7 linked regions of the Macaca fascicularis genome follow. The protein of the gene in region 5 purifies or fractionates together with the protein of the main gene of each other region. This does not show direct contact. Links are inferred from orthologs where the notes say so. Each region holds a gene or a part of one and is shown on either strand. Other genes may lie near its edges. The genes, in order: RAB8B, RAB10, RAB4A, RAB8A, GDI2, RAB1B and RAB7A.

What was found.
Region 1: the proteins of GDI2 (region 5) and RAB8B purify together in Homo sapiens (affinity purification with mass spectrometry; 3 studies listed by BioGRID and IntAct, with this or other methods). This does not show direct contact. The link is inferred for Macaca fascicularis from reciprocal best matches to the Homo sapiens genes GDI2 and RAB8B.
Region 2: the proteins of GDI2 (region 5) and RAB10 purify together in Homo sapiens (co-immunoprecipitation; 3 studies listed by BioGRID and IntAct, with this or other methods). This does not show direct contact. The link is inferred for Macaca fascicularis from reciprocal best matches to the Homo sapiens genes GDI2 and RAB10.
Region 3: the proteins of GDI2 (region 5) and RAB4A purify together in Homo sapiens (co-immunoprecipitation; 3 studies listed by BioGRID and IntAct, with this or other methods). This does not show direct contact. The link is inferred for Macaca fascicularis from reciprocal best matches to the Homo sapiens genes GDI2 and RAB4A.
Region 4: the proteins of GDI2 (region 5) and RAB8A purify together in Homo sapiens (co-immunoprecipitation; 5 studies listed by BioGRID and IntAct, with this or other methods). This does not show direct contact. The link is inferred for Macaca fascicularis from reciprocal best matches to the Homo sapiens genes GDI2 and RAB8A.
Region 6: the proteins of GDI2 (region 5) and RAB1B purify together in Homo sapiens (affinity purification with mass spectrometry; 3 studies listed by BioGRID and IntAct, counting the BioPlex papers as one, with this or other methods). This does not show direct contact. The link is inferred for Macaca fascicularis from reciprocal best matches to the Homo sapiens genes GDI2 and RAB1B.
Region 7: the proteins of GDI2 (region 5) and RAB7A purify together in Homo sapiens (affinity purification with mass spectrometry; 3 studies listed by BioGRID and IntAct, with this or other methods). This does not show direct contact. The link is inferred for Macaca fascicularis from reciprocal best matches to the Homo sapiens genes GDI2 and RAB7A.

Annotation. Positions count from the first base shown.
Region 1 is NC_088381.1:39,765,365-39,769,329, reverse strand, and holds part of RAB8B (ras-related protein Rab-8B), read right to left. Parts: intron 3,159-3,965; coding exon 3,081-3,158; intron 2,163-3,080; coding exon 2,073-2,162; intron 1-2,072. UniProt on the Homo sapiens protein: The small GTPases Rab are key regulators of intracellular membrane trafficking, from the formation of transport vesicles to their fusion with membranes.
Region 2 is NC_088387.1:96,119,985-96,123,949, reverse strand, and holds part of RAB10 (ras-related protein Rab-10), read left to right. Parts: intron 1-184; coding exon 185-323; intron 324-3,965. UniProt on the Homo sapiens protein: The small GTPases Rab are key regulators of intracellular membrane trafficking, from the formation of transport vesicles to their fusion with membranes.
Region 3 is NC_088375.1:19,835,727-19,840,195, forward strand, and holds the start of RAB4A (ras-related protein Rab-4A), read right to left. Parts: upstream 2,895-4,469; 5' UTR 2,666-2,894; coding exon 2,635-2,665; intron 1-2,634. UniProt on the Homo sapiens protein: The small GTPases Rab are key regulators of intracellular membrane trafficking, from the formation of transport vesicles to their fusion with membranes.
Region 4 is NC_088393.1:16,426,144-16,430,855, forward strand, and holds the start of RAB8A (ras-related protein Rab-8A), read left to right. Parts: upstream 1-1,626; 5' UTR 1,627-1,645; coding exon 1,646-1,769; intron 1,770-4,712. UniProt on the Homo sapiens protein: The small GTPases Rab are key regulators of intracellular membrane trafficking, from the formation of transport vesicles to their fusion with membranes.
Region 5 is NC_088383.1:6,738,322-6,742,722, forward strand, and holds the start of GDI2 (rab GDP dissociation inhibitor beta), read right to left. Parts: upstream 3,196-4,401; 5' UTR 3,003-3,195; coding exon 2,958-3,002; intron 1-2,957. UniProt on the Homo sapiens protein: GDP-dissociation inhibitor preventing the GDP to GTP exchange of most Rab proteins. By keeping these small GTPases in their inactive GDP-bound form regulates intracellular membrane trafficking.
Region 6 is NC_088388.1:8,121,284-8,125,693, forward strand, and holds the start of RAB1B (ras-related protein Rab-1B), read right to left. Parts: upstream 3,266-4,410; 5' UTR 3,208-3,265; coding exon of another isoform or gene 3,194-3,207; 5' UTR 2,501-3,193; coding exon 2,418-2,500; intron 1-2,417. UniProt on the Homo sapiens protein: The small GTPases Rab are key regulators of intracellular membrane trafficking, from the formation of transport vesicles to their fusion with membranes.
Region 7 is NC_088376.1:154,694,876-154,699,266, forward strand, and holds the start of RAB7A (ras-related protein Rab-7a), read right to left. Parts: upstream 2,840-4,391; 5' UTR 2,637-2,839; intron 1-2,636.

The sequences.
Region 1 (3,965 bases), on a different chromosome or scaffold from region 5:
TCTGTAACCAGTGCTCAAGCTGCTTGCTCAAGCCCACTCCCACTCTGTGGAGTATACTTTCATTTCGATAATTCTGTGCTTTTTTTGTCTTCATTCTTTCATTGTTTTGTTTGTGCGTTTTGTCCAGTTCTTTGCTCAAAATGCCAAGAACCTGGATGACTTTGTAGTCAAGATCCTCCACTGGTAAAACTACCATTAGCCTGGGATTCATTCACTCCTTTTATCTGCTCCCAAAGTATAATTCTCCAACTTTACTATACTGACCGGGCGCAGTGGCTCGCGCCAGTAATCCCAGCACTTTGGGAGGTCGAGGCGGGCGGATCACCTGAGGTCAGGAGGTAGAGACCAGGATGGCACATGGCGAAACCCGGTCTCTACTAAAAATACAAAAATTAGCCAGGTGTGGCGGCAGGCGTCTATAATCCCAGCTACTTGGGAGGCTGAGACAAGAGAATCGCTTGAACCAGGGAGCTGGAGGTTGTAGTGGGCCCAGATCGTGCAATTGCATTCCAGCCTGGATGACAAGAGTGAAACTCCGTCTCAAATAAAAAACAAAAACTTATACTGACTTTTAATTACCCTTGTTTTTTTTTTTTTGAGACAGAGTGTCACTCTGTTGCCCAGGCTGGAGTGCAGTGGCACTCTCTCAGCTCACTGCAACCTCCGCCTCCCGGGTTCAAGCGATTCTTCTGCCTCAGCCTCCTGAGTAGCGGGGATTACAGGTGTGTGCCACCATGCCCAGCTAATTTTTGTATTTTTAGTAGAGACAGGGTTTCACCATGTTGGTCAGGCTGGTTTTGAACTCCTGACCTCGTGATCCGCCCACCTTGGCCTCTCAAAGTGCTGGGATTACAGGTGTGAGCCATCGTGCCAGGCCTTAATTACTTTTAATAAATGAGTCCAGAACTGAACAAAAATTTAAATACTAAAGTATTCAAGCTTTGATTTCTATTAAGACAAATTGAACTCTCATATATTCCTCAAAAAGTTCTTAGTTTATTTACAATGCTAAAATTAAGTAAATGTTTTTAGGGGAAAAAAGTCTTTAGCAAAAGTTCACAGTCAAATTGAAAAACAAAATGTGGCCAGGCATGGTGGCTCACACCTGTAACCCCAGCACTTTGGGAGGCCGAGGCAGGTGGACTGCTTGAGGCCGGGAGTTCAAGACGAGCCTGGCCAGCATGGCAAAACCCCGTTTCTACTAAAAATACAAAAACTAGCCGGGTGTGGTGGCACATGCCTATAATCCCAGCTTCTTGGAGGCTGAGGCATAAGAATTGCTTGAACCCAGGAGGCAGAGGTTGCAGTGAACTGAGAATACACCACTGCACTCCAGCCTGGGAGACAGAGCAAGACTCTGTCTCAAAAAAAAAAAACCAAAAAAAAAAAAAAAAAAAAAGAAAAAAGAAAATTCAATTTGCATATATAATTTTTTTAAAGGCTAAAGCAAAATTCCAAGACTTAAAAAGTGAAGCTTCTAAGTCAATTTAGAATCTGCCACAGAAGTAAATATGTGCACAAAATATCCTTTTGCTTTACAGGAGGACACAAAAGAGAGAAATGCCCATAAACAACATATAAATGACATCCATAGCTTGATCAATTACAAGGAATTTATCCATAAAACCTAAAGCTAATGTATAGTAAAATATTCTTAGGGGAAAAAATGAATTGGAAAATGATTCCTGTTGAAACTTCACCTACCCTGTAACTTTTTTTAAAAAAAGAATGAATTACTTTAGCTTCAAAACTGGGCATTTTCACACAGATCTGGAAGAAACAGCCTGAACTCTAAGCTGCAGGAATCTGAGAAAGGACCAATTTGTATCTCCCAGAAAACATTAGCAAATTCTTTAGGAATGAGTCATGACCACACAGTATAGGGAGCTGGATCTCGAATACTAATTCACACCATTCAAGTATGGATTACATCTCTTTGTTGTTGATATCCAATTTAAAAGGATTAAAACACAGATTAAAAAAAAAACTTAAATCAATAATTAAACAATATGAAGAAAAGAAATGCTTAATGTGAGTAGAATCCAACCTTTATTCATTCCATTCACATTTACCTTCTCCCCTCTTTCTTTTGACACTTGTCTTTTGTCATTCATATCACATTTGTTACCCAGGATCATTCTTTCAACATCGGAAGAGGCATGCTGCAGGGAGAAAATAGCATGCTATAAAAACAGCCTGAGAAAAACCCATTACTTACTAGACAAATCCAACTTGTCAGAAACACATGAATTTAATAAGACAAACAATCTTTCACTCACACAAGGCGTAATTCAGAGAAAAGTTTAAAGATGGGAGGAGGGGCAAAGCTACAGCACAAGAGCCCTCACAGAGCCTGTGCAAACCTTCTTCCTGAGGTTTGGAAAGAAGGTGGAACACACACAAATAAAGCTTACGGTGATCTAATGACAAAATTTCCAAATATTTGGGTCAAAGAAGGACAAAAACTTGGTACTGAGTGAACCAGTGGAGAAGGCATTCTGGATTCTGAACTATTTTAAAAAGAAATTCATCTAAGTTAATAGAAACGTGTACAAAATTGTATCAGTCAGATTTCTTTCTTAAGTGACAAAGACATTAAAAAATCTTAATACCAATTATCCTGGGATTAAAACAATCTTCAAATATCTAAGATAGAGAAAATGTCAGAAGGGTAAAAAGTTGCCAGGGTAAAGAGATACTGTTGCTAGCCAAACAGCATGGTGGGATAGAAGTTGGGAACCAGATGTTTTAATCCTGGCTCTTCTTTTTAAAGGCTGTATGAGCACAGGCAAATCATTTCTTTCTGGTCTGTTATTCATGTGTAAAATGTGATCTAGGATTAAATTATTTCCCATATGTGGCCCAAACTTAAAATCTTGTGACATTATTTCTCTGTTCCCCTATGCCCCAGTAGTCAGACTGGCAGCACCAGAGATTTATGGAGCTCTTCAGAGAGAGAAGGCCCAACCTGCCCATGCCCTGCTTCTAAGCAGCTCAGCTGCCTTGCAGAGACAGAGGAGCCTTTTAAAAGCACCCAGCAGGACTCTTCTCCAATGTCACCATTCTCTTTCCGCACATACCTCTTCAATGTTTCTGATCCAATTTTTAATATTGTCAAAGGATTTTTCATTTGTGATGTCATAGACCAGCATAATGCCCTGTAATGGGGAAAAAGACCTTTATTTAGTACTTTATATATTTAAAGTTATAGTATATAATGTCAATGTACTCCTACCCTCCAGAAACCTTTTGTTTGTCCATTTTTCCCTTTACAAAAGGATTCATAATAAATTTGAAAAGTACAGAGAAACAAAAATCAATAAATACATTATTCCACTGGTCTCACCATGTAAATAAAAACCCTGTTAACATTTTCACTGTTAACCTTTAATGAACTGGTGATTGTGGTAAAGGTGAGACACCCTTTCCACCTGGCCTAACATGAAAACAATCAGCACCAACTGGGCTGAGTGTTCAGTCAAAACACAGATAACACTGGGAGTAAGAGTTTGTCACTTCCATTGTGCACTTGTTTATTCCAAGTAGAAACTATCTTGCTTCCTACTGTTCTACTAAGATTGAGGCTACACTGATTTAAAATTATTTTTTATATATGTTGATCAAAAAATAGGTTGTCACTATTTATCTAAGTACATCACAGACACTTAAAATCCAATGTATTTGTTATACTGGTTTAATGAAAGGCATTCTCGTCATATTTTTAAAGACTCCATGTCTGATATATCTTTCTTTCTTTCTTTTTTCTTTTGAGACAGTCTCCCTCTGTCACCCAGGCTGGAGTGCAGGGGCACGATCTCCGCTCTCTGCAAGCTCTGCCTCCCAGGTTCACACCATTCTCCTGCCTCAGCCTCCCGAGTAGCTGGGACTACAGGTGCCCGCCACCACGCCCGGCTAAGTTTTTGTATTTTTAGTAGAGACGGGGTTTCACCATATTAGCCAGGATA
Region 2 (3,965 bases), on a different chromosome or scaffold from region 5:
TATGTGTCACTTCCTACTGTTTTGCCTTTTAGATTTTCATCCAGTATGAGTAGGTTATTAATTCCCTTCAACTAAAAAGTTTTTATATATACTTAGGAAAAACTATTTTATTCTTGTTTTGTCCTTTATGTGAAACGTAGTAATACCAAAATGCTTAATAGAAATTGTTGGCTGTTTATTTCAGGGATACAGCAGGCCAGGAGCGATTTCACACCATCACAACCTCCTACTACAGAGGCGCAATGGGTATCATGCTAGTATATGACATCACCAATGGTAAAAGTTTTGAAAACATCAGCAAATGGCTTAGAAACATAGATGAGGTAAGACCTAGAAATTGTATAAACCCTTCATGAACACACATTTGTGTGCTTGGTTAAGAAGAATAAATATTCCAATTGATCTTCAAGATACAATGTACTGTTGAAGTAATTATTACTGAAGTATTTCTATTTTCTAAAAGTTAATGTTGGCCGGGCATGGCGGCTTCATGCCTGTAATCCCAGAACTTTGGGAGGCTGAGACGGGAGGATCACCTGAAGTCAGGAGCTCAAGACCAGCCTGGCCAACATGGTAAAACCCTGTCACTACTAAAAATTACAAAAATTAGCTGAGCATGGTGGCGCGTGCCTGTCGTCCCAGCTACTCGAGAAGCCAAGGCAGAAGAACCTCTTGAACCTGGGAGGTAGACGTTACAATGAACCAAGATCGCGCCACTGCACTCCAGCCTGGGCAACAGGCTTTTTTTTGAGACTCTGTCTCAAAAAAAAAAAAAAAAAAAAAGTTAATGTTGTTATTCGCCTACGTTTTTCTTAAGTTTTTGGGCAGTCTATCTAGAGCCTCATTCAAGACAATTAGTAAATGACTCCAAAACTCTATATAGCCATCTTATAAGATGACCCCAAATAGAAGCTACCAGTGGTTTTACAATGACTTTCTGGAAATGAATTTTTTCTTAATAAATTTTTATTGAATGAATGAATGAAATATCTAGTAGTAATTTTTAAAAACTTTATTTTTCATGTTACAGAAATATAATATTGCTTCTAGGCATTTTGAAATATATGGAATGCTAATACAGTAAAAACCTAAGAAAATAGTTCCATTGCATGTGAAAATGTTGTTTTTTTTCTGTATTTTTGTTTTTTGTTTTTTTTTTTGTTTTTTTTTTTTTTTTTTTGAGACAGAGTCTCGCTGTGTCGCCCAGGCTGGAGTGCAATGGCCAGATCTCAGCTCACTGCAAGCTCCACCTCCCGCGTTTATGCCATTCTCCTGCCTCAGCCTCCCAAGTAGCTGGAACTACAGGCTCCTGCCACCACGCCCGGCTAGTTTTTTGTGTATTTTTAGTAGAGACGGGGTTTCACCGTGTTAGCCAGGATGGTCTCGATCTCCTGACCTTGTGATCTGCCCGTCTCGGCTTCCCAAAGTGCTGGGATTATAGGCTTGAGCCACTGCGCCCAGCCTATTTTGGGTTTTTTTGAGATAGAGTCTCACTTCATCACCCAGACTGGAATGCAGTGGCACGATCTTGGCTCTCTGCAATCTCTGCTTTCTGGGTTCAAGTGATTCTTGTGTCTCAGTGTCTTAAGTAGCTAGAATTACAGATATGCACCACCACACCCGGCTGATTTTTGTATTTGTAGTAGAGATGGGGGTCTCGCCATGTTGGCCAGGCTGGTCTTGAACTCCTGGCCTCAAGTGATCTGCCCACCTTGGCCTCCTGAAGTGCTAGGATTGCAGGCGTGAACCACCGCGCCCAGCCTGATGTCACTTTTTATAAGTTAAAGTTACGTATCAAAGCATGTCTATTTCTTTGCTACAGCATAGGTGGCTTCTTGTTAAGAGTTGTTTTTCATGCCTTATTGCTACCTTCTAGGCTTTGAGTTTCATTGAGAGTAACTCTTTGGAGCAAGTTTTGGCCAGATACACAAAGAGCAAGTCTTAAACCAATATTAGACCCAAGATAATACCCCTAAGGGTAGCAATCCTAATGGCTCATAACCACTTTTTTGTTGCTACAATAAACCTTTAGGAGAAGCTTATTATTTTTTAATAATTAAAGATACACAGATCTTGGCCAGGTGTGGTGGCTTACGCCTGTAATCCCAGCACTCTGGGAGACCGAGGCAGGCGGATCACCTGAGGTCAGGAGTTTGAAACCAGTCTGGTCGACATGGTGAAACCCTGTCTCTATGAAAAACCCAAAAAAATTAGCTGGGCATGATGGTGGTCACCTGGAGTCTCAGCAACTTAGCAGGCCAAAGCAGGAGATTCACTTGAACCCAGGAGGCGGAGGAGGCTGCAGTGAGCCAAGATTCCACCACTGCACTCCATCCTGGGCAGCAGAATGCAACTCCGTCTCAAAAAAAAAGAAAAAGAAAATCTTGTTTCTCTGACATATTTAAAGGATTATATAACATGATAAAGAGGAACTTTACCCAGGAATGCCAGGGTCAGAACCTGTCAATGTAATATACCATATTAATAAAGGACAAAACTATACAGTTATCTCAGTTCACACAGAAAAAACATTTGACACAATCCAGCATTCTTTTATGATTAAAACATTCGGCTGGGCGCAGTGGCTCATGCCTGTAAATCCCAGCACTTTGGGAGGCCGAGGTGAGTGGATCACCTGAGGTAAGGAGTTCGAGACCAGCCTGGCCAACATGGTGAAACCTCATCTCTACTAAAAATACGAAAATCAGCCAGGTGTGATGGCAAACGCCTGTAATCCCAGCTACTCAGAAGGCTGAGGCAGGAGAATCACTTGAACCCGGGAGGTGGAGATTGCAGTAAGCCGAGATCGTGCCATTGCGCTTCAGCCTGGGCAACAGAGCAAGACTCTGTCTCAAAAAAAAGTCAACAAACTAGGAATAGCAAAGAACTTCCTTAATCCTGTAAGTGACATCTATAAAAATACCACAGCTATTATACCTGTCCCTTAAGATCAAGAACATGGCAAGAATATCTGCTCTGGCCACTTCTGTTCAACATTATGCTGAGATTCCAGCCAGAGCTTAAAAAAGAAAAAAGAAAAGAGCCATCCAGAGTGAAACAACTATTTATAAATGGTAAAATATTTTATATAGAAAATCCTTAAAAACCCACAAACATATACCCAGAAAACTCTTAGAACTAATAAGTGAGTTCAGCAAGGTTACAAAGAAATGAGATCAAGATACAAAAATCAGCTTTATTTCTGTACACTAGCAATAACCTAAAAATTACATTGAGAATAAAATTCCATTTGTAATAATATCAAAAGGGAAAAATTACTTAGGAGTAAATTTAACCAAAAGAGTGTAAGACTTGTACACAGAAAACCACAAAATATTGTTGAAAGAAATTAAAGATCTAAACAATTAGGTAGCCTGTATTTGTGAATTGGAAGACAATATTAAGATGGCATTACTACCCAAAGTGATCTACAGATTCAGTGCAATCCCTATCAAAATCCCAATTGCTTTTTTTTAAATTCCCCCTGTGGAAATTGACAAATTGACCCTAAAACTAATATAGACAGGCAAGGGACCCAGAGTAGCCAAAACAATCTTGAAAAGGAAGTACAAAGTTGTAAGACTTACACTTTCTGGTTTTAAAACTTAACCACTAAGCCACAGTAATCAAGACATTGTGATACTGACATAAGGATAGTCATAAAGATTAATTGAATAGTATTGAGAGTCTAAAAATAAACTCTTGTATATATGGTCAGTTGACTTTTAACAAGATGCCTGGACAATTCAATGGGCAAAAGAATAGTCTTTCCAACAAATGGTGCTGGGAAAACTGGCTATCCTTGTGTGGCAGAATGAAAGTTAGACACCTACTTCATACCATACAGAAAAGTTAACTCAAAATGGATCATGAGGGTTGGGCACGGTGGCCCCACCTGTAATCCCAACACTTTTGGGAGGCCAAGGTGGGTGGGTTGCTGGAGCCTAGGAGTTTGAGACCAGCCT
Region 3 (4,469 bases), on a different chromosome or scaffold from region 5:
TGGCCCTTGATTTTTCCTCATCCCTCTGTCAAGCTACACAGAGCCTCCTTTTACAGAAGAGCAAATGAGCACAGAGTACAAAGGAGTTTAAAGGTTAGGCAAACATTCCTTCACCAGCTCAGAGGCAAATATCCAGAAGGGAGCCTGACTGTTTCACTTTTAAGGAACAATGCCATATAAATATGGCCACTGATATGTCCAAGTGACAGCCTAGGACTTGGTTCTAGGTGACTTTTACTTCAGCTTGGCAAACTTCAACTGTCCTGCTTGCTCTTTCTAAAGCCCATTTTCTTTTTTTGAGAGTCTCACTCTGTCATCCAGGTTGGAGTGCAGTGGCGCAATCTTGTCTCACTGCACCTTTGCCTCCTGGGTTCAAGCAATCTCATGCCTAAGCCTCCCAAGTAGCTGGGACTACAAGTGTACCACCATGCCCAGGTAATTTTTCGTATTTTTAATAGGGTTGGGGTTTCGCCATGTTGGCCAGGCTGGTATCGAACTCCTGAGCTCAAGTGATCTGCCCCCTCGGCCTTCCAAAGTGCTGGGATTACAGGCGTGAGCCATCACGTCTGGCCTCATTTTCTATTTATTAGTTTCTACTAGTTTTTGATTAATTTCCTCTATTAGAAGAAAATATTCAATTCAGAATTGCAAAGTAAAAACATACTTGGAAGTTATCATGAAATAAGAATACTAATGGTTAAAGCCTTATGATCAGAATGCAATCAATCTGTGAAGCTCAAAAGTTCAGTTAACTGTGTCTGAAGTGGAGATGCCAAAGATATGCTCTATTTTATCAGTTGTTATCATTGTGTAAACGAAAAATGAAACATAAAAGGTCCTTTCTTACTGATTCATGACCCCCACTTGCTTTTCTTCTTTGGACATTCCACCCTTCCCTTGTGCTCTGTGCTCCTTACTCAGGTTAAAGAAACTCAGCGTGGGCTAAAGAGCACTTGAAAATAAAGAAGTGCAAAGATGCAACCAAAAATTGCTAAAGAGCATGTTTTCCTTACATTTCTGACTGTGGTTCTCTACAGGAAGAACCAGACCACTGCCATTTGCAGAAGCATTTGCAAACACTTGTCCTGATGAAGGCATCGACTTACTGGAGGATTTCCTAAGCCTTCTAGGAACAGATGTCATGCCCCTGTGTCACCAAGAACAGGGCAGTACCAGTCACAGGAGTCACTCACTGAAGGTGGACCAAAGGCACTGTGACCCCAGCACGGAAGCCCTTCCAAAAGTTCCCATTTTTTCTTACAAGACAGACTCACGCCTTCCTCAAGGCCCTCTCCTCTCTGTCTCCTCATCCATCTCTCCAGCGTGGTGCTCACAACACACCCTTCTTGAGTTGCCCTTCCCACAGGCCTGAGATGTTCTGTGTGTTGCCTGGCTAATGCCTCCCCGACACCCCCTGTCTGGGTCACCTTTCTTTCTAACACACTTTCACGGACCACACTCCTTAAGAACTCTTGGCTGGTTTTTAATTATTCACTCATTAGTATCACAATTGGATGAATACTGCATTCCCTCAATAGACGGTACGCTCCATGAGACTAGAGCCATGTCTGCTGTCTTTCTGCAGGACTTACAGCCCTCCCAGCACGGTGCCCGCTTCCCTGATGCCATTCCACAGTATTTGTTGCCGAGAAGGAGGCAGCACGCCAGGACAGATGGAGACAGGACTAATTTGGCTTGAGGTATGTAATTTTGAACTTGAGCCTCTCTCTGGGACTGTAAAACTCCAAATCAAAGTCTTAATCTGAGAATACACACATCTGAAAGACTGATTAGGGACTGGTAAACATCTATTAATATTCAACTCTGATAGAAAGTACAAGTTGTTTATTCTTACCACGCAAGGCCAAAAAAGGGGAGAAAAAAAAAAAAAAAAAAAAAACCACAAAGTATATGCACTGGGAAAGCTTTCGCTTATTCAAAACAGTATTTGTCGAGCACCTCCAGGTCTGGGTGCTGCAGGGGAAACAAAGATTAAACAGCCAAGGCTTTGCTTCCAAGGTGCTTACTGTCTTAAGGATACAAGGCTTATATATAGCCAAAATGCAACTCAGAAAAGACTAAAAAACACTGAGAGGGAGGGAGAAATAAACGAAGAGGTCTCCGGAGGAAGAGATGAATTAGTCTATCAGTAACTCCTCACTGTAATCCCAATGTAAAGCAAGGAATTCCAAACCAGGAAAGGTCAAACTGAAGTATTTGAGGAACACAGGCGTCGCCCTAAGCCCTTCACACGGCTCGCTGGGGATAATATAGCAGCTGAAACGGAACATCAAGCTGGCTTTCCAAACCTTCAGTTATTTACATTAGACTGAGAGGGGAAAAGCGCTAACAGTGCAGGCGCAGAGAAAGAGCAAGAGGAAACTTGAAAAGGCGGATCACTCCAATGCGCTGTGCACAGCCCCGCCCGCGCCCGGCGCACCCGCTACCCCACCCGAGCTCTCCGCGGCCCGCGTCCCCCATCTCGGTCCTAGGCCCAGACACCTCCGAGACCCGTCCCACGGCTCCGGCCGGCGCCACCGCCACCCTCAAGACCCCCGCAGCCCAAGCCCGGCCCCGCGCCGGCGACGCCCCCCGCGGCCCGATCCGCGCGCCCAGCCAGCCCGGGCCTCGTACCGTAGGTTTCGGACATGGCCGTCTGCGACATCTTGGGAGCGGCGCCGCCTCTCGCCGGGTCACCGGCTGCACTCGCCCGCGGTCCGCTGGCGCGTCTCGCTGGGGAAGAACCTGGGGCGGGAGACCGGAGGAGGGAGGGGCCCGACCGGTCCCCACGGCAACCGCCGGCCTCCCAGCGGCTGCGGCCCAGCCGGACTCCAGCTCCGCGCAGGCGCAGGGACCTCCACCCTCCGTCCGGCCGCGACCGCGAGGAGGAAGAGGAGATGGGCTACCCGAGGCCCGGCCCACGCCGCGTTCGCGCGTGCGCACGGGGAGGCGGGGGGCGGGGCGCATGGGGACTTCGGCGCGCGCCGGAAGCACGTGCGCGGGCTGGGTCCCCTGGCTGTGTGCGCCGAGGCTGGGCGAGCGGCGGGTGGGGGCGTTGCGGGCTGAGTCCCGATTTCCCTCAGGGAAGGCCGGGTAGAGGCAGGCGGTGGGCAGGTTTGGGGGTGACAGAGGGCTGGGGACAGTGGGGTCCAGTTACCGAACAGAGGAGGAAGGTGCCTGCACTGGGGAGGAAAGCAGTCCATTTGCCACACTGGCCCGTCTCAGTTAAAGACGTTGTCTTCGGTCATCATCTGAGGCTGTCAGCCAGGAAGAAACTTCCCTGACGCAGTTACGATCGAGGCCAGAACTTGGTTAATGTGTAACAAGGGGGCAGTAGGCCCCAGGTGTCCAGCCAGAGGCCGCCCTGTGAATGGGAGGCGGGTTCATTTACCCGTTGGGAAGCTAAGCTTTCACTCCAAACTGCCCGGCCCTCTTGAATGGAGCTGAGCAGGTGTGGGCAGAATGACAGAAGCTCAAGATGCCCAGATGCTGAAGGGTCATCGCAAGACTACAGACAGCAGCCTCTCCACATCCCATTTTAGAGGGTTCTGGATTACGGCTGAGAACTATCTCCTGGCCCCCAGCTGGGGATGTGTTTCCAAATTTAGGAGTTTTTTTGTTTTTATTTTTTAACAGGGTCTGGCTCTTGTCAGCGCAGCCCTGTCGATTCTCCCACCTCAGCCTCCTGAGTAGCTGAGGCTAGGGGCACACAGCACCACACCACGCCAATTTTTAAATTTTTTGTACAGATGGGGTCTCGTTATGTTGCCCAGGCTGGTCTTGAACTCCTGAGTTCAAGCATCCTCCCTCCTTGGCCTCCCAAGTTGCTGGGATTACAGGCGTGAATCATCTCACCTGGCCTTGGATAGTTTGGTTTCAGAAGCAAAACTGAGTTAGAATCCCCTTCTGTGGGAAATGTAGAGATAAACATTTATGGAAAAGAGAATTTTGGTTGAGGATTTGGCCCATCTGAGCTTGATCAGGGCCACATAGCGCCTCATAGTTCCCAACCTTGTTCACAATAGGTTGTCGAATGCTCAAAATATCCCTGGCTAAGCTCCCAAGTGACCTGGACTGTGTGGAAAATGCCAGTACAAAGTTTTTTTTTTTTTTTCCTGAGTCAATTTGGCTCCATCCTCCACATTGGCATCAGAGCTTCCCTCTTCCCCAGGGGCTATTTGGGTCGGTATTTTTCTCTTCTCTCCCATCCTAATAACAAATAAATGCAGTTTTTTTTCTAAACCACAGAGAAGGCCCCATGGTGAAAGGTTGTGAGAGCTGCAATTTCCTAAAATTGTTTTGTATATATTTCTTGTTCAATGGCTCAGATCATTTTTTGCTTTCTTGTTTGGTTCTCTGCATGTTGTGTTTGATTTAGGCTCCTGAGTATAGCAGATTGGTTCTGATTAAAACCATTTCGGAGGAAAGACAGTGATCCCAGGAAGTGGGAAGAAAACAGCATCACCTGA
Region 4 (4,712 bases), on a different chromosome or scaffold from region 5:
TTTTCTTTTCTTTTTCTTTTTCATTTTTTTGAGACGGAGTTTTGTTCTGTTGCCCAGGCTGGAGTGCAGTGGCACGATCTTGGCTCACTGAAAGCTCCGCCTCCCGGGTTCACGCCATTCTCCTGCCTCAGCCTTCCGAGTAGCTGGGACTACAGGTACCCGCCACTACACCCGGCTTTTTTGTATTTTTAGTAGAGATGGGATTTCACCGTTAGCCAGGATGGTCTCGATCTCCTGACCTCGTGATCCGACCGCCTTGGCCTCCCAAAGTGCTGAGATTACAGGCGTGAGCCACCGCGCCCGGCCTTTTTCTTTTTTTGAGAGGCTTCTCGCTCTGTCGTCCATGCTGGAGTGCAGTGGGACGATCACCGCTTACTGCAGCCTCAAACTCCTGGCCTCCCAAAGCACTGGGATCACAGGTGGCAGCCACAGCCCCGGCCTGTTTTTTCAGTGTTGAGAGTCCTGGCCCCTAGATAGGAACAAGCATCCTCACTGTTCTAAAGCATCCTCACTGTTCTAAACCCCCCGGGCTGGCCCGGACAACTCCTAAAGCGGCCGAGGGCGGACCCTGAGGAGGCCGGCGCGCGCTTCGGGGCACAGCTTGTGGCGGTGAAGCCGCTCAGGTGGCGGAGGCCTTGGGTATCTGTAAGCAGGTCGCTAGGCCGCAGACCTCGGAACTCGTCTTGAGTCACTTTTATTTATTTATTTATTTTTGAGATGGAGTCTTGCTCTGTCGCCCAGGCTTGAGTGCAAAGGCGCGATCTCGGCTCACTGCAACCTCCGCCTCCCAGATTCAAGCAATTCTCTGCCTCAGCCTCCCAAGTAGCTGGGATTACAGGCGCCCACCACCACGCCCGGCTAATTTTTGTATTTTTAGTAGAAATGGGGTTTCACCATCTTGGCCAGGCTGGTCTTGAACTCCTGACCTCGTGATCCACGCGCCTAGGCCTCCCAAAGTTCTGGGATTTCAGCCACCGCGCCCGGCCCGGGTCACTTTTCGAGTATACAGTGTCTCCTCTCTCCTTCCTCCGTCGGCCCCCGCTGCCCCGACTCGGAGGCCGCAGATCAGGTTGAGAGCGCTACCATGGTTTCCCGCGCTCGCCTCGGGGCCTATTGCGCCTGCGCGAGTTGTGACGGCGGGACCCAGAGATACCCGCCCCAAGTACAGGATTGCGCCCTCTGCCGTCGCCTAACGGAACTCCGGGCGCGCGTGAGCACGCACCCCAAGCCCCGCCCCCCAGGCTGCCGGCGCGCGAGCCGTTGGCGACGCTCCCTGCGTTCCCTCTCCTGTAGTGGGGCGGGGCCGGGCCGCCCGAGTAGGGGGTGGAAGGCGGGGGCCACATAATGCCACGCCCCCGCCTCGTCCCCATTTGAAGCCCCACGACTCTTCACTGCTGGTCAATCAGAGCCCGTCCTCTCCCTAGTGCCGGCCAATGGGAGGTGCGCTCGGGCTGCTTCCGGCTCCGCGCTCCATTCGCCCCCTCCCCAGGTCTCCCCGCGACTGGCGGGACGCAGGGGCGGGCGTCGGCCGCGGTGACGCGCAGCGGGCCTGGAGCCAATAAGGGGCGGGCTCGGCGCTGATGGACGGTGCTGGTGGCCAGTGGAGAGGCGCTGGCCGCACTTCCCGTCGGGGAGAGAGTGTAATATGGCGAAGACCTACGATTACCTGTTCAAGCTGCTGCTGATCGGGGACTCGGGGGTGGGGAAGACCTGTGTCCTGTTCCGCTTCTCCGAGGACGCCTTCAACTCCACTTTTATCTCCACCATAGGTAGCGGGACCGGGGAGTGGCTGGGGGCGCCAGAGGCCCGGGCTGGGCGCGCCCCTGAGGGGCTGGGGCTGAGGGATCTACCGGGCTGGACTGGCCGAGGGCGCTGAGAGGGTCGAGGGGGCCTAAGGGGAGAAGAGCAGTCGCCTGTACCGCCGTTCGGGGGTTCCTGGGCCGTGGTGGGGGAGACCAGGTGCCCATTTTGCAGATGGGGAGACTGAGGCTCCGACCCTCAGCCCGCTCGTTAGGGAGTGTTATGTCCTGGGCTGGGGTCTTCGCGCCCGTCCTCTCGATCTGTCCTAGCAGCAGCCCTCAAAGCGGTTCTTTTGAGGCTCCTGCCTTACAGAAGTGGAAACTGAGTCATGGGGAATTGGCCATGGGAAAAAGACGGTAACATCTCACCTTAATGAGCATTTACTATGTGCCAAGTGCTTCCCGTGCATTTTCACACTCTCCAGTTCTCGGTGTTAAGTGCTGTTTTGAGCCCGTCTCACAGATGAGGAATTTGAGGCTCAGGGTGGGCCTGGAACTTGCCCAAGGCCACACAGTCTGCAGGTGGTGAGAATGGGATTTGATGGAATTTGAACCTGGCTGTGTCTCAACCCAAAACTCGAGGCTTAGCTATCCTAGAGAGATGCCACCTCACACTCCCAGCTGATGACAAGCTCAGCTAATGCACCTTGGAGCCGGAACTGTAACCCACACCATTCCTGCTCTTTTCTCTGGAGCATTCAGAAGTTGAACCCCTCTCCCTGACCATTCTTCCCCTCATAAGTGTATTTTCCTCTAGAAGGAATGATAAGAGGAGTCAGGACCTTTTCCCTGCCCACATTTCATCCTGCTCCAGGATGACAATAATGACAAGTGACAGCACTGCCTGCCCTGGAACCTGTCATCTGCAAGAAGATGCAAGATAAAAGCCTCAGCGAGCAACTAAATCAGCCACTGCCACAGACAGCCTTGACTTCCCTATCAAAGGGCCCAAGACTCCGGTTGTCACTTTAGAACAGCTTTTCCCGTAGGGCCAGCCCACATTGTGGTTGAACAGAATTGGCTTGGTGCATCTCAGTTGTGCCGTCTGCAGAAGTGGAACTGACCTCTCTCAGTGCCACAAAAGCAGTCCTGGCCCACAATGAAAAGGTTAGACCGGGGAGTAACACCAGTCTGAGTGGCCTGGGAGCTCTGTAGCCCTGCTAGGGATGGGGAAAATGGGGGAACGGTCACTAAGGAGTTTATTCCAAGTCACGAAAACGTAGGGAATGGCCTTTGCTTTACTGTGTCACTTCAACAGAATCATGTTTTCTCCCTGAACCCCACGATAATGTGCTGATTCCATTCTTGCCCCCCTCCAGGAGCTGTGCTTTTTTTATTTTATTTTATTTTATTCTATTTTATTTTATTTTATTTTATTTTATTTTTTGAGATGGAGTCTAGCTGTTTTGCCCAGGCTGGAATCCAGTGGTGCTATCTCGGGTCACTGCAACCTCCGCCTCTCGGGTTTAAGCAATTCTCCTGCCTCAGCCTCTCTAGTAGCTGGGACTATAGGCACCCGCCACCACGTCCAGCTAATTTTTGTATTTTTAGTAAATATGAGTTTCACTATGTTGGTCAGGCTGGTCTCAAACTCATGACCTTGTGATCCACCTACCTTGGCCTCCCGAAGTGCTGGGATTACAAGCATAAGCCACTGCACCCAGGATAGCTGTGCTTTATAAAACAGTTATATGCCTGATGTAAAGTAGAGAGAACTGACTGGAAATCGTTACGTCTGGTTTCCAATTGCTGTTTGCCCTTGAACATACACTGCCCCTCTCTGAGCCCTGCTGTCTTTAGAGCAGGAGTGACGCTGTCTCCTGGGCTAGTGCCCTGGTGGTTGAGGATTAGAATTAGACAATAAGGGGTTATCACCGTAACCAGAGGCCATCTCGAAGAAGCAAATGAATGAATGGCTCCTGCAGTGACAGCATCCAGCCTCTGAAGACAGATGGTTCTGAATTCTTCCCCCTCCCCAACTCCAAGGCCAAACTTTAGGGTAACTCTTGTGCCCCAACCGATCAAGAAGTGGCGTTAATTCAGCCTGGGCAACATAGCAAAACCCCATCTCTATAAAAAATAAAATAAAATTAGCCGGGCATACTGGCTTACCCGTATAGACCCAGCCACTTGGGAGGCCAAGATGGGAGGATTGATTGAGCCCAGGAGGTCAAGGTGCAGTGAGCTGTGATGGCGCCACTGCACTCCAGCCTGGGCAACAGAGCGAGACCCTATCTTAAAAGAAAGAAAGAAAGAAATTATGTTAACTGTGGGCAGACTGTGGCTTGCCTTCACTCAGATCCCAGTTTCCCGGCCTCAGCACCTTCCCCACAAACCCCCCCTCTTTTTTTTTGAGATGGAGTCTCGCTCTGTCACCCAGTCTGGAGTGCAGTGGCATAATCTCGGCTCGCTACAACCTCCGCCTCCCAGGTTCCAGCAATTCTCCTGTTTCAGCCTCCTGAGTACCTGGGATTACAAGTGCCCACCACCATGCCCAGCTAATTTTTGTATTTTTTTTTTTTTTTTAGTAGAGACAGGGTTTCACCACGTTGGCCAGGCTGGTCTCGAACTCCTGACCTCATGATCCGCCCACCTTGGCCTCCCAAAGTGCTGGCATTACAAGCATGAGCCACTGCGCCCAGCCCAGACCCCCCCTCTTTAGAGTTACTTTGAGCTTTAAAGAGGCTGTCTTCCATTTGCAGATGAGGATGTGACTTGGTGAAAGTTACCTAGCAAGGTGAAGGTGGCACCTGACCCCAGGATCCCTCCCTCTCACCCCTTCATTCCCCTCCTTCCATTTGTAGCCTTCTGTCTTCTAGGAATTTCTTTTTTTTTTTTTTTTTTTTGAGACGGAGTCTCTGCCGCCCGGGCTGGAGTGCAGTGGCCGGATCTCAGCTCACTGCAAGCTCCGCC
Region 5 (4,401 bases):
TACTGTGTAGAACAAAAAAAAAACGGGAAGAGAAAAACCTCTGGGAAGCACAAATAGCTGTGGAACTATTCTTATTTTTTTAATCTACTATGTCTAACAAGACTCGTGAACTTATTTCCAAGTCCATAGTGAACTATGTGCAAAATATGTGGTGAGAGGCTGCCCACACATGCTGAAAGCGGAGAAAAGTAAAAGTTGCCAGCCTAACAGTAGAGTAAGACAGAGGGAAAAAATTTGAAGAGTAAACTCAAGAGCTCAAAAAGCAGAGCAGCCTGAGAGTAAAGGGGGCAAAAGTTCCTACAAAGCTGGCGGGGTCTTCATGGCTTCACCATGTTACAGCACAACACAATAATTAATCTTCACTATGTGAAATCTTAGTTATCAAGTAAATTATGTTTCTTAGTTTGTTAGAGAAGTTGTGACAGCATTTAGAAAGGCATTATCCAAAAGCTGTGCTCTTTAGAGATAACCCTTAATTCCTCAGAAAATTAAATTGTGTGGAATATTCCATTTCTTTTACACACAGAATGAAGATTTTACTCCTTTATGCCAAATCATTTTGTATCTTCTTGATTAAAATGACTATCAATATTTGTGATTACGAGCTTGGACTTAACAACTCATACAAACAATGGCAGCACTAAGCAACACAGCAACTCCAGCACTTCCTTACACTTCTTTAAAAGTAACAAGTTCCTAGCACTGAAAGCACTTGCCTTTTTTAGGTTCTTAAATCTCAGGCACTAAATATAAAGTAAATTTCAAGAAAATTAATTTAACTTCAGACACTCAAAAGTTAATTCTGAGTGCTAACTTTGGTTTTCTCTTCTTCTAATTTTTAGTCATCTAATTCCTGGTAACACTAAAAATAAGGATATAAGATTTCTCATTATCAAAATCATCCTGTCATCACTACTCCTATCAAGGATGGTAATAATGTGATTCTTCTGAATTGATATAATTATCAAAGAACATCTCAGAAAACTTAGGCAGGCTAACAGAGATTAAAGTTATCACAGCTACAAAATGACAGCAGAAATTGGTCTGATTTCTAGTTAAGTATGCATCTACCATTTATCAAAAAGTTCACAATCCAAATGAAAATTTAAACGAAGTGCATTATCTTAACTTGTTATATAAAAAGACTGTTTCACCATCTTTGATACAAAGTGATGTGAATGGGGCTTGTGGAAGCCTGCATGATGGTGGATTTGCACTCACTCGTCCATGCTCAACTGACCTCGATTGTGAGCAAATCTGAAAGACCAGCAACAACCATAGAAAAACGGTGGAACTAACCGGCTCTAACAACACGCTGGCAGCAGCACTACCCATTCCAACGGGCAAAATCCACCACAAACTACTAAGCGCAGTTTGGAATCCCAATTAGGCACTTAAAAAAAAAAGCACAAAACCTGCAGTGGGTAGGGCCTATTCATTTAGGCATCCAACAGTCTTCCAGCTTTTCAAAGACATTGACAGGATTATTCCTCAATTTGTCAAACATAACAAAGTATTCTGAATGAATATTCTCTAATAATTGCATATAACTATAAACAGAAAAATGACAGGCCAGAAAAACACCATTCTAAGTCTTAACAAACCTTTCTTAAAAAATTAGCCAAATAAAAGTTCAAAGGTTTTTTCTTGACTAGAGACATTTGAAAGTGTTATTTTGGGATGTTACCTGTTAAAAAAAAAAAAAAAAAAAAAACATTAGTTTGAACCTGACAGATTATAATAAATTTCAAAAAATTTGAAGTGGAAGTCTACATTAAATGACACAGGAATTTAAAGTCAGAGTACATAGGATACACAAGATTTACATCAGTATTCATCTTAATTATGATCAAGCAGCCCAAAGTTAGAATTTCAAAGTTCCCAAAAATCGATAGTTAAAATGGTTTTCTCCAAATTCTTTTGCAAGATGAAGTCTTCATAAAAAAAAAAAAAAACAGAAAAAGTACAAACTACAGAACCTGCCTGCATTATCTACAGTTAACCTAAAGCTCTCTAAGCAGACACATAACCAGGAAAATCAATATACCATGGTATTAGGTACACCTTGCATTCATATATATACTACAATGCATTCTTCATGTTGTTACTGATTTATCTTCCAACTCCCTGAAGAAAGCTGCGGAGTACAGAGAACTTGGCCTTTAGCAATCCATCACCAATCCAATTCTTAGGGGAAAAGAGTCCAGAAGAGACAAAGGAGGCAGGGAACCCACCAAACAAAAGGAAAAGGCGGCGAAGGTCAGGTGCGAAAGCATTTGATAGACAAGTTTTGAAAAAACTCAATTCCAATTCTACAGATGCTCGGTAAGTGGGAAGGGAGGGTGGCTAAAAAGATTCAATAATACTTCTTATTAGCAGGGGGGAGAAAGGATTAAAAGCCTAATTTCTGCCTTTTCTCCAAAAATATAAGTTAATCAAGCCCTAGCAGTTCCGAAGCAGTGATTATCCAAGACTTGTCAGGAAACCCCGTGCTCGGCTTTGGCAGCCAGACAGACCCGGGGAAGCGGCCGAGGCGGAATAGGAAATGCAACCGCGAGGCCTGCACCGTCCCCTCCGCCTCGGGTGCTAGTTTCCAACCCGGAGAGGTCACTGGCCCAAAGTGGGGAGCGGGAGCCTCGGCCCGGGCCGCCTTCTCCCTCCACTCCGCTTCCGCAAGGGGGAAGCGCAGCGACCGGGCTCCGCCGTTACCCCGCCCGGAGCCTCGCGGCCCGCATCTCCATTTCCCCGCCTGCCCCTCACACTGGGAGTCGCCCGATCGTCCCGGGACGCGGGGCGCCCCCAAACCCGCCCGTGCCCCCAGCCACGACTCCCGTCCCGAAAACCACGGGTGACTGCAGAACGAAAGCCCCCAGGAGCTGCGACCCGCGGGCCGTGCAGGAGCCGGGGATGCGCCCGCCCCGGCTGCTCAACCCCGGCCCCTCAGCCCCGGCGCCCACCGTCAGGCCAGTGCCCAGCACGATCACGTCGTACTCCTCATTCATGGCGGGGCAGGCGCGGACGCAGAACCAGAGAAAGGAAAAGGCGCAGGGGCTCGGTGACCACCCTACGAGGCTGGCAGGCGCTCTCGGGCGCGAAGGAAACGGGAAGAGAGGAGAGGAAAATGGAGCTGGCGACAAGGCGAGACCTGCCGCCACCTCAGACGGGAAGCGAAGAACCGGGCGGGGAGAAAAGGGGAGGGGGCAGGGAGGGGAGGGCGGTGACTGAGCCTCCGCAGCCGGGGCGGGGCCTGCAGGCGCCGGGAGGGCCGCCAATCAGGCGCTTCCGGCACTCTAATTGGTTTTGTCCCCGTCACTCGCCCAACTTTTTTTCTTCCCCGCCTCTCGCGAGAGGAAAAGGGCGGGGCGTCGCCATTTTGGCTTCCGGTTCCCTTTGCGGTTTCTGCCACCGGGGTCTGGGAGGCGGCGCGTGGACCGGGGTGGAGGCGCACGGGACCGCGGGAGGGGAGTACTGCCGGCCACCACGGTTCTGACTCCCGCCGTCGGGGCGGGAGCTCGCTCGGTCCAAGGTCCCAGAGCCGGACCGCCGTCCTTGGACTTTGAGCGGGTGCGTGCGGCGGCCACGTGGGCGAGGAACGTGGGTCCGGCCGCCTCTCGCGGGTAGCGGCCTTGGTTCCTCCCGCGGGGCTGGGCTCGCCGGGGCCCGGAGCCCGCCGGGAAGAGTTCGGAAATCACACGTGTCCTGTTTCCCGCTCTGTGCCTTCCCTGTTTGGTGCGTTGCCGGTGGGCGCTTTAGGAAAGTGGTAGGAGGAAAAGCGGCTTCTTTTGCTAAAAGGAACCCTTAACGGAGATGAAAGTGAAGGCCAGGTTTCATTGGGAAGCCGATCCGCACTTACCCAGGGCTATAACTTAAAGCCACTGTAAACGTGGTAGCTGATCCTTGGATGCAAAGGTTTAGGCCCTAAGCTTAGAAACTACCTTGCTTGCCTTCTAACCCCCTCCTCTTTTTCTAGAATTCTCTTAGGAATCTCTAACTTCATTGAGGACACGGGTGTAAGCAGAAGCTGTGTTCTCAGCTCCAAGAGGCAAATCCCACGAAAGCCTAGGCAGGTGAATTTCCTAAAGGCGATGACAGTTGGAAAACCTGTGTTTTCAGCACGTGATAAATCTGCATAGTCAGCAGACAATGAAGATTTGGCATTCAAGAACTACTCAAATACTTCTCGGTAATAGCTATCATGAGCCTGCCTTGATAGACCGAACTTGCTCATATTTAAATCATCAAGATTGAGGAGAGAATGTAACAACTTTTAAAAATGTTTCTTAACCCGTAAATACTTGGAGAAGATGTGTTATATTGGACCATGGACCTTTTGCAAGGGGAGGGGAGAAGAAAGCAAAAGTAAAGTTTAAATTTATATTCAACCTTAATTTGATTGTGTAT
Region 6 (4,410 bases), on a different chromosome or scaffold from region 5:
GGCTCAAAGTGATCTTCCCACCTCAGCCTCCCGAGTAGCTGGGACTTCAGGTGTCCACTACCACTTCTAACTAATCTTTTTTTTTTTTTTTTTTTTCTGAGACGGAGTTTCGCTCTTGTTGCCCAGGCTGGAGTGCAATGGCGTGATCTTGGCTCACTGCAACCTCCGCCTGCCAGGTTCAAGCAATTCTCCTGTCTCGGCCTCCCGAGTAGCTGGGATTACAGGCACCTGCCACCATGCCTGGCTAAGTTTTGTATTTTTAGTAGAGACAGGGTTTCACCATGTTGGCCAGGCTCGTCTCAAACTCCTGACCTCAGGTGATCCACCTGCCTCGGCCTCCCAAAGTGCTGGGATTACACGTGTGAGCCACCACATCCAGCCCCTGGCTACTCTTTTTATGTTTTGTAGAGACGGGGTCTCACTATGTTGCCCAGGCTGGTCTCAAACTCCTGAGTTCAATCGATTCACCTGCCTTGGCCTCTAAAAGTGCTGGGATTACAGGGGTGAGCCTGGTCATCCTTTGGTTTAGAATACTATGGTGCTCACCAGATCTTCCCACCAGTCCCGGTCAGGGAGGGCTGATGCCCCCCTCCAGAAAAAGCTAGCCCAAAGGGCTCTCAGCTTGCTGAGTCTAAATTCTCACTTTATGGAGAAAGAAATCAAGACACAGAGAGGGACGTGACCTGCCAAGGCGACAGAGCTGGGTATCCTACCCTGATTTCTGAGACTTCATGGTTTGGTACAGTAGGGGCTATTTAGGGAATCCCCAGTACATGACCTGTGGTATGCCTGGCTTGGCAGGGGAGGCCCCAGAAGTAGAACCCAGGGCACAGTCTAGAACTTGTTAAGTGAAAAACCCATGTAAAGAGACAGATGGCCAGGTGCTGTGGGGTGTGCCTGTGGTCCCAGCTACTGGGGAGGGTGAAGCAGGAGGAGGATCCCTGGAGCCCAGGAGTACATGACCAGCCTGGGTGATGTAGCACGACCCTGTCTCTCTTTTTTTTTTTTTTTTTTTTTTTTTGAGACGGAGTCTTGCTCTGTCACCCAGGCTGGAGTGCAGTGGCCGGATCTCAGCTCACTGCAAGCTCCGCCTCCCGGGTTTACGCCATTCTCCTGCCTCAGCCTCCCGAGTAGCTGGGACTACAGGCGCCCGCCACCGCGCCCGGCTAGTTTTTTGTATTTTTAGTAGAGACGGGGTTTCACCGTGTTAGCCAGGATGGTCTCGATCTCCTGACCTCGTGATCCGCCCGCCTCGGCCTCCCAAAGTGCTGGGATTACAGGCTTGAGCCACCGCGCCCAGCCATCTCTCTTTTTTTTGAAATGGAGTCTCACTCTGTCACCAGGCTGGAGTGCAGTGGCACGATCTCGGCTCACTGCAACCTCCAACTCCCGGGTTCAAGTGATTCTCCCGCCTCAGCCTCCAGAGTAGCTGGGATTACAGGCACGTGCCATGACACTTGGCTAATTTTTGTATTTTTAGTAGAGATGGGGTTTCATCATGTTGGCCAGGATGGTCTCGATCTTCTGACCTCGTTATCCACCCGCCTCAGCCTCCCAAAGTGCTGGGATTACAGGCGTAAGCCACCGCGCCCAGTCCACCCCATCTCTTTGGAAACAACAACAAAAAACCTGTTATGAAGTCACCAGGAAGAGGTGGTCAAGTTGCAATGAAAATTGCACTTAAGGCTGGGTGCAGTGGCTGACACCTGTAATCCCAACATTTTGGGAGCCCGAGGCACAAGGATCATTTGAGCCCAAGAATTTCAGACCAGGCTGGGAAACAGATGGAGACCCTGTCTTTACAAAAAATTTAAAAATGTGCCAGATGTGGTGATGTACCTCTGTATTCCCAGCTACTCAGGAGGACAAGGCAGGAGGAATGCTTGAGCCCAAGAGTTGGAGACTGCAGTGAGCCATGATCGTGCCACTGTACTCCAGCCTGGGTGACAGAGAGAGACCCTGTCTCAAAAAAAAAAAAAAAAAAAAGGTAAAAGGTAATCACATTTAATAATATTGAGTTCCAACTTGTGACTGTGTGAAGTCACACAGTTGAGTTCCCTGTGTGAAGTACTTCAAATGCATCATCTCATTTAATCTTCGCAACAGTCCAATGAAGTCAGTTTTATCATTGTCAACTAATGAGGAAACCAGAGGCCAGAGAAGGGAAGTGACTTGCCCTAACTTACACAGTTTTTCGCTTTAAGACTCAAACCAGGTTTGTCAGACTCCAAAGTCCCTGCGAGAGCCTGCTGGTTCCCTTCTCTGTTCCCCTCCCAATCCAGCTCAGAGCTTCACCCTTCCCCAAGGAAATCTGAGACCTGGATGTGGAGGAGAAAAAGGAAGTGGCAGAAGAGGAAGAAGATAACTGATACTTGGGGAAAACTATTAGTCCTGGGCATGAGATGTGGGCCACCTACCCGCAGAGGGAGTGACCAAGAGTGAGGAGAGTTTGAGGACCAGAGAATCCCGCTGGAAGGGGGAGAGCAAATTCCATATTCATCTAAACTTCACAAGCAGTGTGACAGCCAAGGGAAGGGGTGCGACGGTGGCGTTGGGGGCCTGAGCAAAAGCGAGGAGAGGGCGGGAAAGGACGGACCGTCGGGAGCGACAGGTCAGCGTAACCCAGGCAAAGGGTAGGAGGCAGCCCCGGAAGAGAGGACCTGCGGGAGATGGGACTCAAGCGGCGCTTCGGGGCCTCCCGCTTAGTTGGCCAGTTTCTGGGCCGGCCCCAGGAGCCGGGCTTCAGGAGAAAGAGAAGGGTAGAGGGATTCACTGCCCGACCTAAAGGGCCCGAGCCTGAACCCGAGACCAGAAACTATCTAAAGACGGGCTCCCAAACTCCAGGACAGTTGTCAAGCAGCAGGTGGGGAAACTGAGGCCTGAAGTGACCGGGACTGCGGGGTCATCTGACCGATAAGGCCTGGTAGGGCCGGTGTCTCGGGCTCCAAGAGCTGCCCCTCGGGGTCGCCACGTCTGGGCCCCGGGTGTGAGAGCTCGGGGTGTTGAGCCGGGGTCCTGGGGCCCCTGGGGGGAGGGGCAGAACCCGGATGTGAGGGGGGGGGGGTCAGCGGAAGAGGGACCCGGATGTGGGGGCGCCGCACAGTCCTGACCCGGGCCAGACAACCCCGGTAAGCGTACAGCCCCGTATTCGGGATCGAGGCTGCGCTGGACGGCGCGGGCGGGGCTCACTCACTATTCGGGGTTCATGGCGGCGGCGGCGGCCCGCTCGGTCGCTCCCAGTCGGCTCTGCTCCGCCTCCCGTTCCAAGATGGTGGCCGCTCCGCCCCAGAGGCCCCGCCCGCGACGCGCAGGCGCAAACGTCCTCTTCTCAGGCCTCGCCGCGCTGGTTCTCGGAACTTGTAGTCTGAGACGTTCTCCAACTCAGCCCCGCTGCGCAGGCGTAGTCGGGGAGCCCGTGCCTCCGCGCCCACTCCCATCACTACTGGCGCATTGCCTTCTGGGGCTTGTAGTTTGCACGCCGGACGCACCTAGGCTTGAGCACGATGCTGGAAAGCCTGACGGCGTCTCGGTGTTTAAAAAGCTCAGTTTAGAGCTGGGCTTGGCACGTTTCACATCTGTCTGACGGAGTCATCCTTACCCTCCCAATACCCACGTTGTGAACATTAAATGAGAATGTGGGATCTAGCAAGACTAGTAAAAGTTCACTTGTCCAGGGTTCCTCGTGTACTGGGCACTCCTAACTCGCAGCCGCGTGTCATCACCCGCATTTCATAGATGAAAAAACTGAGTCTCGGGAAACTCACTCAAAGTCAAAAACTTTGTGAAGAGCAGAGCTCGTAAGAGCCCGCGGTCTCCAGAACCCCACAAGTGAACGTTTTAGGGAAAGCCTGACTTGTGGGGCCCCCACCCAGTTCCGGGGTGGGCCAGAATATCTGGGCCCAGCTGCGCGGACAGCAGTTGAGCGAGACACACTGTCCCCCACTCACGCGCGACCCTTCCCGGCTCCACCCGTTTAGAGACGCGGGGGGACCCCGACCTCCGCCTCAAAACAAGCCCGGCTCAGATTCAAACCGTCTTTATTTCTACAGCAACATCTGAAAATAGAGAGCAGCCGCCTCACCCGCAACAGGGGGAGCCCCTCCTGCCACCAAGGGACCGTCGCCGCCCCTCGCGAGAAGCTGCAGGCGTGGGGAGAGGCGTGGCAGGATGGCTCGGTGGGCGGTGCCCGGGGCGGGGTCGGGCCGTGCCTGGGCGGGGCCGGGCGGGAGGGGCAGTGCATAAGGCCGGGATGCGGGGCAGGGCCCGGCGGTGGGAGGACTGACTAAGGGGAGGTCCCCGTCCTGGGGCACGGGGCGATGGCGGGGTAGGACGCATCCCTCAGAGGCCAGGAGGAGCGCGAGAAGGTCCCGGGAGCCACTTAGGAGGCGCCACTCCCGAGAATGTGGAGCC
Region 7 (4,391 bases), on a different chromosome or scaffold from region 5:
CTTCTCTTGAAGGGAACCTAGAAAGTTTGTGGGAGATAGGGTAGCACAGCTTTTCTATGTAGAATGGTACTGAAACTATGGCCGACACAATATCAGTGCTACATTAAACTTTCTTGCCAGCTGAAGAAAAAAATCCAGTATGCCAAATGTCCAAATGTACCTTTGCTCAAAGACACTGCAGTGCAAGGTAATGGTAGTGACATGGACTACCTCTCGAGTGAACCAAAAAAATGCCACTAGAGTCGGCCGGACGCAGTGGCTCATGCCTGTAATCCCAGTACTTTGGGAGGCCAAGGCAGGCAGATCACCTGAGGTAGGGAGTTCGAGACCAGCCTGACCAACATGGAGAAACCCTGTCTCTATTAAAAATACAAAATTAGCCGGGCATGGTGGCACATGCCTGTAATCCCAGCCACTCGGGAGGCTGAGGCAGGAGAATGGCTTGAACCTGGGAGGCAGAGGTTGCAGTGAGCTGAGATCGCGCTATTGCACTCCAGCCTGGGCAACAAGAGAGAAACTCCGTGTCAAAAAATAAATAAAATAAAACAAATGCCACCAGAGCAAAAGGAGAAACAAGTTGAGTGTTGAAGGTTACTCTTTAAAAGATGTGATAAATTAGAAACTGTAATATTATCTTCTACACTCTCTGAAGAGCATACAAATGCTGTTGTTAAAATTAACAAAGCCTTAAAGTTAGCCAGAACACCATCCTTTGGATTACTACGGATTCATCAGCAGAAATGAGAAATAACTCTTTCCAAAAAGCCTCAAGTTCTACCACCAAATCATTCCACAATAGAATTTCTGGCCAAGATCATTCACCTTTTAAAAATTCCCTGAGGACAGGAACCATGCCTATCTCCCTAAGTCAACATCCCACAACGCCTGATACATTGCTGATACTCAATGGATACTCAAAATACTTCATGAATGAATAAAAAGGTGCCTATCATTACTCTCCTCTAAACTCAAACATTATATAAAGCTACAGTACTTATTACTCACTTAAATATTTTAGGCTGGGTAGCAAAGTTAAAAAAAAAATAAAAAAGACAAATTTGAATACAACAGGATTGTGAACGCTAAGCTTTAACTTAGCCAGTCCCTTCAGGAGAAGCACTCCTAACTCACCTTCCAGTTCTTAAATCCAAATCTGAACAAACCTTCCCAGGTTTGAAGAAAGAAACACACTAAGAGGAGACTTTATTAATCCATGGATGAGAAATCATGTGCCTCATCAGCTGCTTAAGTCACAAGAAAGAGACAAGAGCCTGTTCTTTAGGAAACCAAAGATGCAGTATTTTGAATAGGGAAGAACCAACTGGCTGGACAGCCATCAACTAAGGTTGTAAGAAAGGTTCGCTAGGCAGCTTTGCCAGGCCTACCTGCAAAATTTTTCAAACCTCAGTTAAGTACCCCGCCAGTATTCAAGAGCTCCTAATTCAACTACACTACAATATGTGTGATAAGCCGCAAACGGCATTTCTTATGGCTTTAAGAGAGAACTGATGCTACCAGAAAGACTTTCAAACGACATCAACAGAAAGAAAGGAGGTGGTGGAAGGCAGTGAGGTACAGATACCAGGTGGCAAAAGATAAACCACACGCTTCAGGGGCACGTGAAAGCAGTATAACCTACAAATTGAATAAAGTGCTCTGGAGTCTGACTGCCTGGGCTTGCATCTTTGCTTCGTAACTTAGCTGTGTGACCTTGGTCAAATGGTTTAGCCTCTCTGTTCAATTTCCCACTGTGTTAAGTGGGCACAACAGTGGTACTTTAGAGGGTTGTTCAAAGAACTAAACATAATGATCTGTTAAAAGGTCTTGCCACGCTGCCTAGCATATAACAAACGCTCAAATATTTGCTGTCAGTATTCTCAATATTCCCCTTATGACCCATTAGGTATCAAGCGTAAAATGAATGCAGAAAGAGGCCCCCAACACGGTCCGAATGGAAACACAACTCTACATCCAACTACCATCTTTCCCCGACTAAGTTGAAAAACTTCTCTCAGGATTTACCGTAACATGCCTAGGACAAAAAGCTCCCTGTCTTCCAGCGCCAGAGGCGCCTCAATGTACACAAGTGTTGAGGCGATCCCAGCGCACGTGACCTGACTCACGCCTTGACTCAGTTGCCGTCAGGGAACCTCTCCCACTAACAGGGTCAGGCTGTTCAACTGAAGAGCCGGATGGGAACGCGGCTCGGCCCCCAGCGCCTGTGACCCATGCCCGCCAGGTGGGCACGGCGGCGGGCGGCGTGGGCTCTGACACCCTCCTGCTCGCCACGCTAAATAACTCCACCGCCTAGCGCGTCCTGCCGCGGCGCAGGGCAGTCCAAGTCAATGAACCCTCTTGGGTCTCTGAGATCGACGCCAACAGTAAACAGAGCGTCCGAGACCGGCGGCCGGGGCCGGCAACCCGGCCAGAGGTCACGCCCGACGACCTCCGACCTCTCCAACCCGGGTGGGGTCCTGGCCTGCTTCGTGGGCCTGAGCGATGCCGAGTTTGCCCGCGAGGCCAGGGCTGGGCCTGGAGCCTGCCAGGAGGACAGGGAGGACGCGAGGCCCTGGCGACCGAGGAGTTGAGGAGGGGGATGGGGCCAGGCCGCCGGCCGGGCTGGGCCCGCTGCTTACCGCGGCCTCTGCGCTGGGGGCTCTGGGCCGGGCGCGTCGCGAGGGCTCCCGCCGAGGAGGAGACTCAACGGAGGACAGAAGAGGGGAGGTCCAAGTTCTGGTTCCAGGGAACTCTGCTGAGCTCTCCAAGCCGCCAACTCCGCCGCTGCCGCCGCCTCAGGCTTTATGGCCAAGACTCCAGGCCCGCTCCCACTTCCGCCACCGCCGCCGCCCCGAGCGGAAGTACCTGTCACGAGACGCTCGACGCCGGGGTGCGGAGGAGGAGCCCCGCCTCAACCTTGAGTCACGTTCCGGCTGCCTTGGGACAGAGCCTGGATCACGTGCTACAAACATGTCTGCTCCCAAACGGTTGTCCCCATCTTTGAGGCTTGTACAAGGAGCAGGACGGCGCCATGTTGGACCCACAGACAGATTCCCTCAGCCATCCCTCCTTGCTCCAGAATAAAGAATGCCACCGAAGAGAGGTCAAGGGGTAAACTGGCCATTCCAATTGTGTCCTTCTTCGGAAGGCATCATTTATCCTTACTTTAACTACCTAACCAAAAATTATTATCACCATTTTACAAATAAGGAACTGAGACCGAACATATCAGGTCACTTGGTCTAGCTCAACACAGAAACTGGTGGAGCCGGGTTTTGAACCAAGGTCTGTCTGATGCCAATGTGTGTTATCGTTCTAGTAGACTGCAAATGACTACAGCAATTGTGTGACTCAGTAATAGAGACAGGAGAAATAGACACTTTGGCAGAGGAGACAGCACGAGAAAATGGAAAATGAGCTAAAGCCTCTCTGAACTTAGTATTAAAGAAGATGTGATAAAGATGGACCTGGTAGAACTCTTCTTGTAAGCACAGAGCAGCCTCCCAAGCACCAGCCCCATCTGAACACATCAGGATCCACTCAGAACTTTTGTCTCCATCTTTAACAATGCCCTCTAATAGTCTTTTCTTATTTGGTTCATGCAAACTCCATTCTTTCAATTGTTCCATCCAAAAACCTTGCAATTGTTACAGTAAGTAAGTAGTTAGACCTGAGCAGGGCAGGAGTGGGGCCACTCCCCCACCAGCAATGTGAGGCAACCATGACGTGGTGGTCAGATTAAGCTATCTCTCTAAAATAATAATTGGTTGCAGTCAGAACCAGGGAAAGAGTCTCCCAATAGATAAAAACACCTAAAACTGGTGATCAGCAGCTTCCCATTGAGATCTCAGAAGTTGAGGGGTCTGGGGAAAAAAAAAAAAAAAAAAAAAACCTCAAAATCTAGGCAAGCAGTCCTAACCCTGAGATGGCACAATGTCTGGGGTTTCCCCTACTTTTTCAGCTAAAATTGGCTCTTTCCGCAAAACCCTCGCTACCTATTCTCCTGTTTTCTCTATGTGTATTCTGAAATGGCCTTGCACACTGCAGGACCATCAGCTTCTGGGGTAAGTCTACTTTTCTCTGCTTTCACTTTGCATGTGCCCAGGAGTTCGAGACCAGCTTGGGCAACATAACAAGACTGTCTCTTCCAAGATAAATAAAAAAGAAAGGAGAAGGCACACATCTACATCAGACTTTTGCAGTTGTACTTCTCTCTACCTGGAAAGCTCTTCCTCCAGGTATCTGCTTGGCCACTCGCTCACTTTCCTCTGGTCTTGACTTTAAAGTGACTTTTTCAGTGAAATAGCCTTCCCTATTTAAAACTGAAGTCCCTCTCTCTGTCACCACAACATAAACACAAAAATTGCCATCTCCCTACGGCTTTTCTCCTTTTT